2 linked regions of the Arabidopsis thaliana genome follow. The protein of the gene in region 1 interacts with the protein of each later gene in a pairwise test. Each region holds a gene or a part of one and is shown in the gene's direction. Other genes may lie near its edges.

What was found.
Region 2: the proteins of CNGC18 (region 1) and CPK32 interact in a two-hybrid assay, tested with the Arabidopsis thaliana proteins (one study listed by BioGRID).

What each region holds. Positions count from the first base shown.
Region 1 is NC_003076.8:4,807,415-4,813,004, reverse strand, and holds CNGC18 (cyclic nucleotide-gated channel 18), read left to right. Parts: upstream 1-1,911; 5' UTR 1,912-2,107; coding exon 2,108-2,572; intron 2,573-2,733; coding exon 2,734-2,946; intron 2,947-3,030; coding exon 3,031-3,341; intron 3,342-3,417; coding exon 3,418-3,529; intron 3,530-3,632; coding exon 3,633-3,869; intron 3,870-3,954; coding exon 3,955-4,737; 3' UTR 4,738-4,914; downstream 4,915-5,590. Other genes in the region: AT5G14860 (UDP-Glycosyltransferase superfamily protein), read right to left, coding at 5,246-5,437. UniProt on the Arabidopsis thaliana protein: Cyclic nucleotide-gated ion channel required for directional pollen tube growth into the transmitting tract. Acts as a Ca(2+)-permeable divalent cation-selective channel inhibited by either lanthanum or gadolinium.
Region 2 is NC_003074.8:21,295,682-21,301,613, reverse strand, and holds CPK32 (calcium-dependent protein kinase 32), read left to right. Parts: upstream 1-1,909; 5' UTR 1,910-2,262; coding exon 2,263-2,790; intron 2,791-3,034; coding exon 3,035-3,158; intron 3,159-3,243; coding exon 3,244-3,387; intron 3,388-3,520; coding exon 3,521-3,673; intron 3,674-3,758; coding exon 3,759-3,874; intron 3,875-3,976; coding exon 3,977-4,144; coding exon of another isoform or gene 4,145-4,195; exon of another isoform or gene 4,196-4,238; coding exon 4,239-4,466; intron 4,467-4,560; coding exon 4,561-4,716; 3' UTR 4,717-5,157; downstream 5,158-5,932. UniProt on the Arabidopsis thaliana protein: May play a role in signal transduction pathways that involve calcium as a second messenger. Involved in maintaining Ca2+ homeostasis in pollen tube tips by regulating CNGC18. Functions as regulator of the calcium-mediated abscisic acid (ABA) signaling pathway.

The sequences.
Region 1 (5,590 bases):
ATAAAACAATTGATAAGCGAGTGCTTTAAACTTCACAAAACTACAATCTACTTTTTATTCGATAAAACAAAAGATTTTATTAGTCTTTTTCATTAGGGTCCCAAATGATTAATATGTTCACGATCACGAAATTTCTTCTTGCGTCCCGTAAGCATTTATATTAATCAAACAAAAAGGAAATTTGTTGCTTCCTACAATGGGAAGTGGGAACCTTTGCCATCTTCATAAATGTTTTAAATCTTTTTTTTTTCTTTCTAATGTGTGTTTCATAAACACCAGCGACTTTATTGAAAAGAGGAACACGTAAATTGTATTCTCAAAGAACAATTTTTTTAGGAAGAGTAACATTTGTTTTCCTTATCTTAATATAAGCAACGAAATCAATCGTGCATATAAAAGTGAAATGCTATTTTGAATTTTCTAAACTTGACTAGCAAATTTTCACTAAAAAATAAAATTAAAAAGTAACGATAAAGTAGTTGTCGTATAGTCTACTCCACATGAATAAAATAATAAAGTAAATCAATAGAATGTAAATCTCTTAATTAATCATACTTATTATATAATCACAGTGGCAAAGTGGAATAAAAAAAAAAGAGGAGAATTGGATCCCGTCGGATTCTATATTTAAAGATCGCTAAACATCTCAAATCTGCCACACGTGGTCATACTTAATAGCAGCCATTAACGAAGTAATAAATTAGTCGATAATAATGTTTAACCAACATCGTATTTCTAGATCCATGAATTAGTTGGAGTAATTAACATCATTGTTTCTTAATTACGTTTAACAAGCATAGAGAAAACAATATTGTCACATATGTTAGTATAAGTTATCATAATCATTTATAAAAGCTTGTTATTAATTTTTTATATTGAAATTACTACTTTGTGTCTAATCGGAAAATGATGGAGTACTAAAATTTGAAGGACTAAAATACGTCATTATTGTTAGAGAAAACAATTACGCATAAGTGTGATTTTTTGGAAGTGGAAAAGTTAGTATGTCCCTCTATATGATATGATGGAAGTTGTTGTTCTTTTTGTGTGGATAAACATCATTTTTCCGTGACGTAATTTTTAATTTCAGTATTCATTTTATTATTCTCACTTCTTATTATCCCTTTTATATTCGCATAATTGTTTCTAAGGATTTCTATTCCCTTTTTGTTATTTTATAGGTACACTATCTTATGGATGGTGTCAACAAGCATGTACACTATCTTCCCACTACCACATATTGTCACAGAATGTTTGGTACGCGTGCTTCTATATACTTTTAATAGTACATAACAACAACAAATGAATTATGTAAGACAATTTGTTAAACTGATGTCAAAAACGGAAATACTACAAAAGACAGTATAATTGAATTACGGGTTTAATGTGTTGACAAAATATAATAAATGTAGCTCATAAAACTTCAATAATTCACTTAAATAAATTCTAATGAACCTCATAACGAATTAGATATTTTAACTAATCTTATCATGGTTTTACGAATTAATTATAATTTTTTTTTTTATTCTTTGAACAATTGAACTAAACAATATTAAACCGGACTTTAAGTTAAAACTACTAAAAACATTATTAGTTTATCAATAGAAATGATCATAGCAATTGTATACATTATAATGTGTAATTTTAAAATCCTAAAGCATATATAGTATATATCCCTTTGATTTTCATAGAAAAAAAGTAGAAAAAAATAACTATTGGGCCGATCTATAACTATTGGGCCGGTGGGTCCAACAACTAAGAACAGTAGATATTGTGTCGATTGAAGTTTTGAGATGCAAAACGTGTGCTGTTTTGAGAACACAAAAACAGCATAAACAAACGAGACCCGCAACTATAACATTCCGTAAATACCCTCATTCTCCCATCATATTTTCAAAAACTACCCTTCCCCCTATTTCCATGGCCCTTCTCTCAGTTTTCCCGCGAGAAATCCTCTCCTTCTTCCATAATCATCAAAAACAAAATGCAAAAACCCAAAAAAACAAAAAATCACACGACGCAACCACCTAGCCTCTCTGTCCATCAATCTCAATCTCTCTCTGTGTTAATGCGGAATCCGATTTAACACCGGAATCCGCCATGGAAGATGAATAAAATCCGGTCTCTCCGCTGCCTCCTCCCGGAGACCATAACCTCCGCCTCCACCGCCGCCTCAAATCGAGGATCTGACGGTAGCCAATTCAGCGTCCTATGGCGGCATCAGATCCTGGACCCGGACAGCAACATCGTCACCTATTGGAACCACGTCTTTCTCATTACCTCAATCCTCGCTCTCTTCCTCGATCCTTTCTATTTCTACGTCCCTTACGTCGGTGGTCCGGCGTGTCTCTCCATCGACATCAGCCTCGCCGCTACTGTCACTTTCTTCCGTACAGTCGCCGATATCTTCCACCTCTTGCACATTTTCATGAAATTCAGAACTGCGTTCGTCGCGAGGAGTTCTCGTGTTTTTGGTCGCGGTGAGCTTGTTATGGATTCTAGAGAGATTGCTATGAGATACTTGAAGACAGATTTCCTCATTGATGTCGCCGCCATGCTTCCCCTTCCTCAGGTTCTTAAGATTTTGCTCTTATTTTGAATGTGAAAGCAATGATATGGATTACGATTAGCTAAGATCAATGTTCAAAAATCGTTAGGCGGTAGCTAGAAGATTAAAGAACAGAGATATTTTGGGAGCCTCATGCTTTGTTTCTGACTATCTTTTGATCTCAGCTTGTTATTTGGCTAGTAATTCCAGCGGCCACAAATGGAACTGCTAATCATGCCAATAGCACTCTCGCACTTATCGTTCTTGTTCAATACATTCCAAGATCATTCATCATATTCCCACTCAACCAAAGGATTATCAAAACAACCGGGTTTATCGCCAAGACTGCTTGGGCAGGAGCTGCATACAACCTCCTATTGTACATCCTTGCTAGTCACGTAAGTTTTCTTTATCTTGTGTGTTTTTTCAAATCTTTAGGTTTCTTCAGTTTTAAGTTGCTAAGAATCTCTATTTGTGGGCAGGTGTTAGGAGCAATGTGGTATCTGTCATCAATCGGGCGGCAGTTTTCGTGCTGGTCCAACGTATGCAAGAAAGACAACGCTTTGAGAGTTTTGGATTGTCTTCCTAGCTTCTTGGATTGCAAGAGTTTAGAACAACCAGAGCGCCAGTATTGGCAGAACGTTACTCAGGTCCTTTCTCATTGTGATGCTACAAGCAGCACTACCAATTTCAAATTCGGAATGTTTGCTGAAGCCTTTACCACTCAAGTTGCTACAACAGATTTTGTGTCCAAGTACTTGTATTGTCTTTGGTGGGGTTTAAGAAATCTAAGGTATGACAACCTTTTATCTAACCAGTATCTGCTTAAATTGTCCTCCTTTGGTTTTAATAAAGGTTTTGTTTCACAGTTCTTATGGACAGAATATAACCACAAGTGTATACCTTGGCGAGACCTTGTTCTGTATAACAATTTGTATTTTTGGGTTGATTCTCTTCACACTCCTGATTGGTAACATGCAAGTAAGATTCAGAGCTTATGCATCACTCTGCAAAACTTTTCAATACAGAGACATTTTTTTGTCTTTCTAACAATAGACTTCATGATTTTTAATTTGGTGGAAAGTCTTCTCTGCAATCGATGTCAGTAAGAGTTGAGGAATGGAGAGTTAAGAGAAGAGACACTGAAGAATGGATGAGACATCGTCAACTACCTCCAGAGCTTCAAGAACGTGTCCGAAGATTTGTCCAATACAAATGGCTTGCAACCAGAGGTGTCGATGAAGAATCAATCCTCCATTCATTACCTACAGATTTACGCCGTGAAATCCAACGTCATCTTTGTCTCTCCCTTGTTCGCCGGGTACATACATCAACTCAGTCATCAAAAACTGTTATGGATTTGATTGTTTTTCAATTCAGAAGTCACATTGTTGTGGTAAGTGCAGGTCCCGTTCTTCTCTCAAATGGATGATCAACTTCTTGATGCTATATGCGGATGCCTTGTCTCATCTTTAAGCACGGCCGGGACATACATATTCCGTGAAGGTGATCCGGTGAATGAGATGCTATTTGTGATCCGAGGACAAATAGAGAGCTCAACAACAAATGGAGGAAGATCTGGTTTCTTCAACTCCACTACTCTACGACCTGGCGATTTCTGTGGGGAAGAACTTCTTACATGGGCCTTAATGCCAAACTCTACACTCAATCTTCCGTCTTCAACACGAAGCGTCCGTGCCCTCTCTGAAGTAGAAGCCTTTGCATTAAGCGCAGAGGATCTTAAGTTTGTTGCTCATCAGTTCAAACGTCTTCAAAGCAAAAAGCTTCAACACGCTTTCAGGTACTACTCACATCAATGGAGAGCATGGGGAGCATGTTTTGTCCAATCTGCATGGAGAAGATACAAGCGAAGAAAGCTTGCGAAAGAGCTCAGCCTTCACGAGAGTAGCGGATACTATTACCCGGATGAAACAGGTTACAATGAAGAAGACGAAGAAACTAGAGAGTATTACTATGGAAGTGACGAGGAAGGCGGATCAATGGACAACACAAATCTGGGAGCAACGATCTTAGCATCTAAATTTGCGGCGAACACGAGAAGAGGAACAAATCAAAAGGCTTCAAGTAGTAGTACTGGTAAGAAAGATGGATCTTCCACCAGTTTGAAGATGCCTCAACTATTCAAACCAGATGAGCCTGATTTCTCTATAGATAAAGAAGACGTTTAAAGTGTAGTCATTATGGGCAAAAAACTTTTGTGTGAACTGTTTGGTTTTAGATGGTAAATAGTTAGGAAACTCCCTTAATTATTTCAACTTGTAATTTTTCTTTTCTTTTCGTTTCGGTTTGAGGATGTTAGATATAGAAAACGAGTGTAGAGTAAAAATACATTGTTCTTAAACTGTCTCAATGTTATATAGTCTGATTTCTTCTCATAGTAGATACTACTTTTGCATACAAACTCATTTTTAAGTCTTTCAGAAGAACACTAAGGTGTTGATAGCTTCTTCGGATTGACCAGCCAATATTAACCTCAAAGATAGCAAAAATCTCATAAAGCAACCACTGAATGCAATTGAAATTTTTTGAAACTATAAGACCAAAACCAAGAATTAGAACTCCAAATTAGTCATTCATATCCAATTGAGAAGAATGGACCAACTTTTCAACAAACCTAACATATTTAATGACTAAAATTAGGTACGAAGCCGTTTTGTTATCCAATCCTTAATCTCTCTAAGCATCAGAACTTGACAACTTATTAACACCGTCTGGCTCTCTACTCTTACAAAGCTCTTCCAGAAGCGAATCCAAACTCTTCCAAGACGAACCAGTCCCTTGAGCCATAGCTTTTTTCGCCATTTTCGCATACTCTTTTACATTCTTCATCGTTGTCTTCCCCATCTCTCCCTCCATCAATTGTTTAACCTAAATAGTACAAATAATAAATACAATCAAGGGGTACTCTACAGTCAAACGGAAAAAGAGGCTTCCTTCTTGTTAATTTGTTAGTCAAAAAGCAAAGCCATGATTACCATATTCAAAACATTTTATTCTAATATATGCATGACACCAATTAAA
Region 2 (5,932 bases), on another chromosome or scaffold:
TACTAGTTTTAGTTACATCCAAATGTCTCAATATATATAGGCTACCATTTTCTGTTGGGAATCAATGTGTATATAACTATATATAGAATGTAAGAGTTTTAAAGGTACTGATATATTTTGTAATTGTATGCTTTTTTCTTTGTCTGCACCACATAAAAACTAATAAAATGTTATTTGTAAGCCAAGAAAATTGTTTACATGTATTGTTTTGTCATTCCATCTGCTGAGACTGATACGACTAAAGAGTTAAAGAAAAGAAAAAAAAGGTTCAAGCTCTTACTTAGTTTCCAGCTCTGTTCATTTAATTACTCTCTCTACCTTGGCCTGTCACTCATGTGTTTAAGAGCTTTAACAAAAATGTAATTTAAGACGCCACAATTTACTAATTCAGGCTGCAAAGCTCGAAACCCTACGTATTTCAGGAATGGAATTTCGAACCCACTAAAATCTTGCTCAGACGAGTCTAAAACCTTTTTGCATACAACTTGTATGTATTTCTTACCACACTCTTACGGTGAACAAAACATAGACCTTATACACACAAGTGCAAGAAAGAGAGAAGTAAAGAGATTTTGAGATGGGCTGATTAAGAAAGGCTTATTTTCGGTTTTTGCTTCTGCCATAATGGGCCTACATACCCTTTTTTTTTTTTGGTAGAAATCTACATACCCTTTCTTTGTTAACTCTCCTATTTATTTGTCCATCAATATCATAGATATATTTTGTTTTGGTCGTTTTAACAAACAAGACTCAGTCTTTGGTAAATGATCAAATACTAAAGAAAATAGAGTGTACTGTATAAAACCCCTCATTTCTTGCCTAATTATATATTGCACTTAACTCTCTTTTTTAGTAACGGTAATCTAAGTAAACAAATTACAAATTGAATCATTGACTTGGTAGGAGTAAGACAAACACTCGTGTAAGGAAAGGAATGTCCATCAGGAGCTTTGATATTAATTTAGAGGCATTTGATAAAGTATCTTACCACATTCATACTCCGTTGACTTTGCTAATTATTTTATATATAAACTAACTCTAAAGTAAAATTTTAAGTATTTATGTTACTTTTAAATACAGGTTTCGACCCAATTGCACATATATCTGTAATCTGAACAATTATTAAATTAGTTGACAAAAAAATAAAAATAAATTTATTTCTATATCAGTTAAATTTTGATAAATCAAAATGCGTTTATCGATTTGTTGGTAGAAGTTTTATAGTGCAAAACCAAAATCATCAACTTGACAGAAAAAGCAAATAACTTTGAGTAATTACATATGTTGGTTGTTTTGTATCGAAGTCAAAAAAATTAGTTAGTTGGGTCCGACGAAAGTGATTAAAAAGAGTCAAAATCGCCGTGTTTGACCTTTTAATTATAAAAAAAAAACAGAACATAAAATAAAGGTGGCCGCTTATTTATGAACCCAAACACGAGCGTATTTACGGTTTCACCCTTAACTTTTTTTTATTTCCAAGGCGCTTAGTTTAAGAACGTGTCACAGACTCCGCTTTCTGTTTAATCCATGAGGTAAAATTCCTGAAACACCCCTGTCTTCGTAATTATTTGTATGATTCATTTCACAGATATATATTTATTTGGTGCTAGAATTTTGTTAGACATTCTATAAAAATAAAGAGTTTTCTAAAATTAAAATGAACAAAAATATTCTAAAAATAAAAAAAATTCTGCAGGAGTTTGAAAAAAAACAATTGGTGGACATTTAACTATTTAAGCCTTAATTTTTTTTGTCGGCATTTAAGCCTTAACTTAAGATCACATATATTCACCAAAAATAATTAAAATCACATATAGGGGTAATATTGTCAATAGTAATTTGGTAAAGCTGAAGGCATTTTGATTTCACATTAGAGTAATGTAATAGTAAGAAACATTCTTTGAAAATTAAAAATTTAAAGTGAAAAAAAGAAACAGACAAAAAAAGAAAAAAAAACAATCATAGAGCAGCTGGAGAAGAAGGGAGGGAAGAAGATTCTCTTGACCTTCCTTCCATCATCATCTCTCTCTCTCTCTCTGTAATTAATTTTTCGCAATTTTAATTTTCGAACAAATGATTTGACGTTCTTCTTGGTATTCACGCGTTGAAAATTTCCACCCTTTCATATATTGTTCTTCACCTCCTTCGTTTTTTTCTCATCCATCTCTTCCAGAATTCTCTTAAAGTTTCCTACTTTCCTGGAATTTCGTCCTCAATCTCTCAAGTTTCATCGGTTTTGATTTGGGTTTGATCGGAAAAGTCATGGGTAATTGTTGCGGAACAGCAGGATCATTGGCTCAAAACGATAACAAACCCAAAAAAGGAAGGAAGAAGCAAAACCCTTTCTCGATTGATTACGGTCTTCACCACGGTGGTGGAGATGGAGGTGGAAGACCTCTTAAGCTTATCGTTTTGAATGATCCAACAGGTCGTGAGATCGAGTCTAAATACACGTTGGGGAGAGAGCTAGGTCGTGGAGAATTCGGTGTTACGTATCTATGTACTGATAAGGAGACAGACGACGTTTTTGCTTGTAAATCGATTTTGAAGAAGAAGCTGAGGACAGCTGTTGATATTGAAGATGTTAGGAGAGAGGTTGAGATTATGAGGCATATGCCTGAGCATCCTAATGTTGTTACTTTGAAGGAGACTTATGAGGATGAGCATGCTGTTCATTTGGTTATGGAGCTTTGTGAAGGTGGTGAATTGTTTGATAGGATTGTTGCTAGAGGGCATTATACTGAGAGAGCTGCTGCTGCTGTCACTAAGACCATCATGGAAGTTGTTCAGGTTCGTCAAGGTTTTTTTGCTGTTTATTGTATCTCTTTAGTCTTTACTTGTTGCAGAATTGCAATGGCCTCGTATAATGTCTTGGTTTGTTACTGGTTTCAGTTTCTTGGACATTATTGACTTGTAGCATTGCTTTAAAGGGCTCAATTTGCTGCAGAAAGATTCAAAATTCGTTTCTTTTCATGTAAATTGAAAGTCTTGTGGAGTGATTTTAGATGTGAGATTAATGAGTGTGTTCTTGCAGGTGTGTCATAAGCATGGGGTAATGCACAGGGACCTGAAACCTGAGAACTTCTTGTTTGGAAACAAGAAGGAGACTGCACCTCTTAAGGCGATTGATTTTGGTCTCTCTGTTTTCTTTAAACCAGGTAATGTGGTCTTTCTGCTCAGTAGATAGCTGATTGCTTTGTGGTTTGTCAATAATCTTAACCCACACCGTTATTTTCTTTGCAGGCGAGAGGTTTAACGAAATCGTTGGTAGTCCGTACTACATGGCTCCCGAGGTGCTAAAACGGAATTATGGTCCAGAAGTTGATATTTGGAGTGCAGGTGTAATTCTTTACATACTGCTATGTGGTGTCCCGCCTTTCTGGGCAGGTTAGTTTTGTCAGTCTATGTTTCCTTCTTCTTGGGCCGTCTGTAGCACATGTTGTCTTCAGGGGTAGTATATGAAGAAGTGATCATAAGAATAATGAACCTGGTCTTCTGTTTTTTTCTATACCATTTTCAGAAACTGAACAAGGAGTTGCACAAGCAATTATTCGATCTGTACTAGACTTCAGAAGGGACCCATGGCCCAAGGTTTCTGAAAACGCAAAAGACCTTATCAGGAAAATGCTTGATCCTGACCAAAAGCGTCGTCTTACAGCTCAACAAGTCCTAGGTACAGATTTATATGATGCAATTTGCTTATATGGAATCTGAGACAGACAAAGAGTATTAATCGGTCTTTGCTTCATTTTCCTCAGATCACCCGTGGTTACAGAATGCAAAGACAGCCCCCAATGTATCATTGGGTGAAACAGTGAGGGCAAGGTTGAAGCAGTTCACCGTCATGAACAAGCTCAAGAAACGAGCACTCAGGGTAAAATACATATTACTTATAAACTATCCGAAAATGTATATCTCTTCTGATCTAAAAAGCCTAACAATAGTTTCGTTTGGTCTTGTTACGTTATCTCGATAGGTTATTGCTGAGCATTTATCAGATGAAGAAGCTTCAGGTATAAGAGAAGGGTTCCAAATAATGGACACAAGCCAAAGAGGGAAGATTAACATCGACGAGCTTAAAATCGGGTTGCAGAAACTTGGTCATGCCATTCCGCAAGATGATTTACAAATTTTGATGGATGCTGTGAGCTTTGATTTACCATTACTTTTCAATACCAGTTTTTGTGTGATTTGAATGCAGTTAACTGAGCTCTGGATGGTTTTCTTCTACTTTGCAGGGAGACATCGATAGAGATGGATATTTGGACTGTGACGAGTTTATTGCCATATCGGTACACCTAAGGAAAATGGGCAATGACGAGCATCTCAAGAAAGCGTTTGCGTTCTTTGATCAAAACAATAACGGATATATCGAAATAGAGGAGTTAAGGGAAGCCTTGTCTGACGAACTTGGTACAAGTGAAGAAGTTGTTGATGCCATTATCCGTGATGTTGACACCGACAAGGTTGGTTAACTTCACCATTTCACTCTCGTTTTCTTGTTGAAAAAAATCCCATCTCATAGAGAACTAACCATCATGAAAATTGTTTTTTTTGTAGGATGGAAGAATAAGTTACGAAGAGTTTGTAACGATGATGAAAACAGGAACAGATTGGAGAAAAGCTTCGAGACAGTACTCGAGAGAACGGTTTAACAGTATCAGTCTCAAACTGATGCAAGATGCGTCGTTGCAGGTCAATGGTGATACAAGATGAGAGAGGCTTAATCTGTGTCACTCACCAGTCTGGAAGATTGAATCAAAGGGATGCAAATCTTTCTTAATTTCTTAATTTTTATCTTCTTGGGTTGCTTTTTTTTTATGACACCACGATTAAAGCTTTTTAGGCATATAAAGTTGTAAGAGTTGTGTGTTTGATATCCTGGCTAATGAGCGAGCTGAGTATGGGGATCAAGAGAGAAAAACCGTGTTGGCCTTTGGCTGTGTGTAGATATTTTGTATAATCTTGTGTTGATAAAAGATAATATCATCAATTTTTCTTGTGATCAATCTGTAATTTTCTATAACCATTCAAGAATTATATGAGTTATGGATTTTGACAATGAGAGCTTGCTTTACAGATAAACTTACACGAGCTTATATCGAATATAGGCATTTTAAATTTAATAATTTCAAAAGAGGTATGTTGCACAGTTGAATGGGCCGCTTATTGTCTGATTTCGGACGATTTTAACCTTCTGGAGTAAGTGAGAAATTGATATTCCATTTTTGCAAGTGGTAGGATGATGTGAAAATAGGTGAAGAAGTGAAAACGATATACCCTAGAATTGGACTTGTAAACCCAAACCGTTTAGTTGACAGTCTGCGATGCATACACAGATACAACGACACAACACTACAACATTAATTAGACTTTCTCGGCTTGAGAAGATGAGGCCAATGAAATGATATTAGAGATGACTTTTCACAAGAAATAAGTACATGTTTTCGTGAAGACATATGAGAAATGTCTTAATAAATAAATTCTTAAGACAAATGCCTATTTTGTAATTAACTCAATTTACACAAAGCCAGATGTACAAATAAAATCAGAAACTAAAGTCCCATTTCGTTTTGTCCTGGTGGTCGACTTTGTCTTTGTGGTCACAGTTTTGTTTTCAAAACTGTACAATGTTTTAAATAAGTATATAACGGAAACTATATTGGCCATAAACTTTTATCAATCCCATATAGCTATAGTAGTCGAGAAGAAGGAAAATTCAGACAAAAATATAATAAACGTCGTTATTGGCTTATCGCAGCATCAAATCTAAACAAGTGGACTAAATATTTGTGTCCTCTATATTATTGTCATCAAGCATAAGACACCAGTCATTTGAATATTTGATCAACAGCCTTATAAAAAATAAAAATTTACAATCATATCTACTCGATGAGTTTGCAACTGTTCATGATATTGATATCCTACAAAT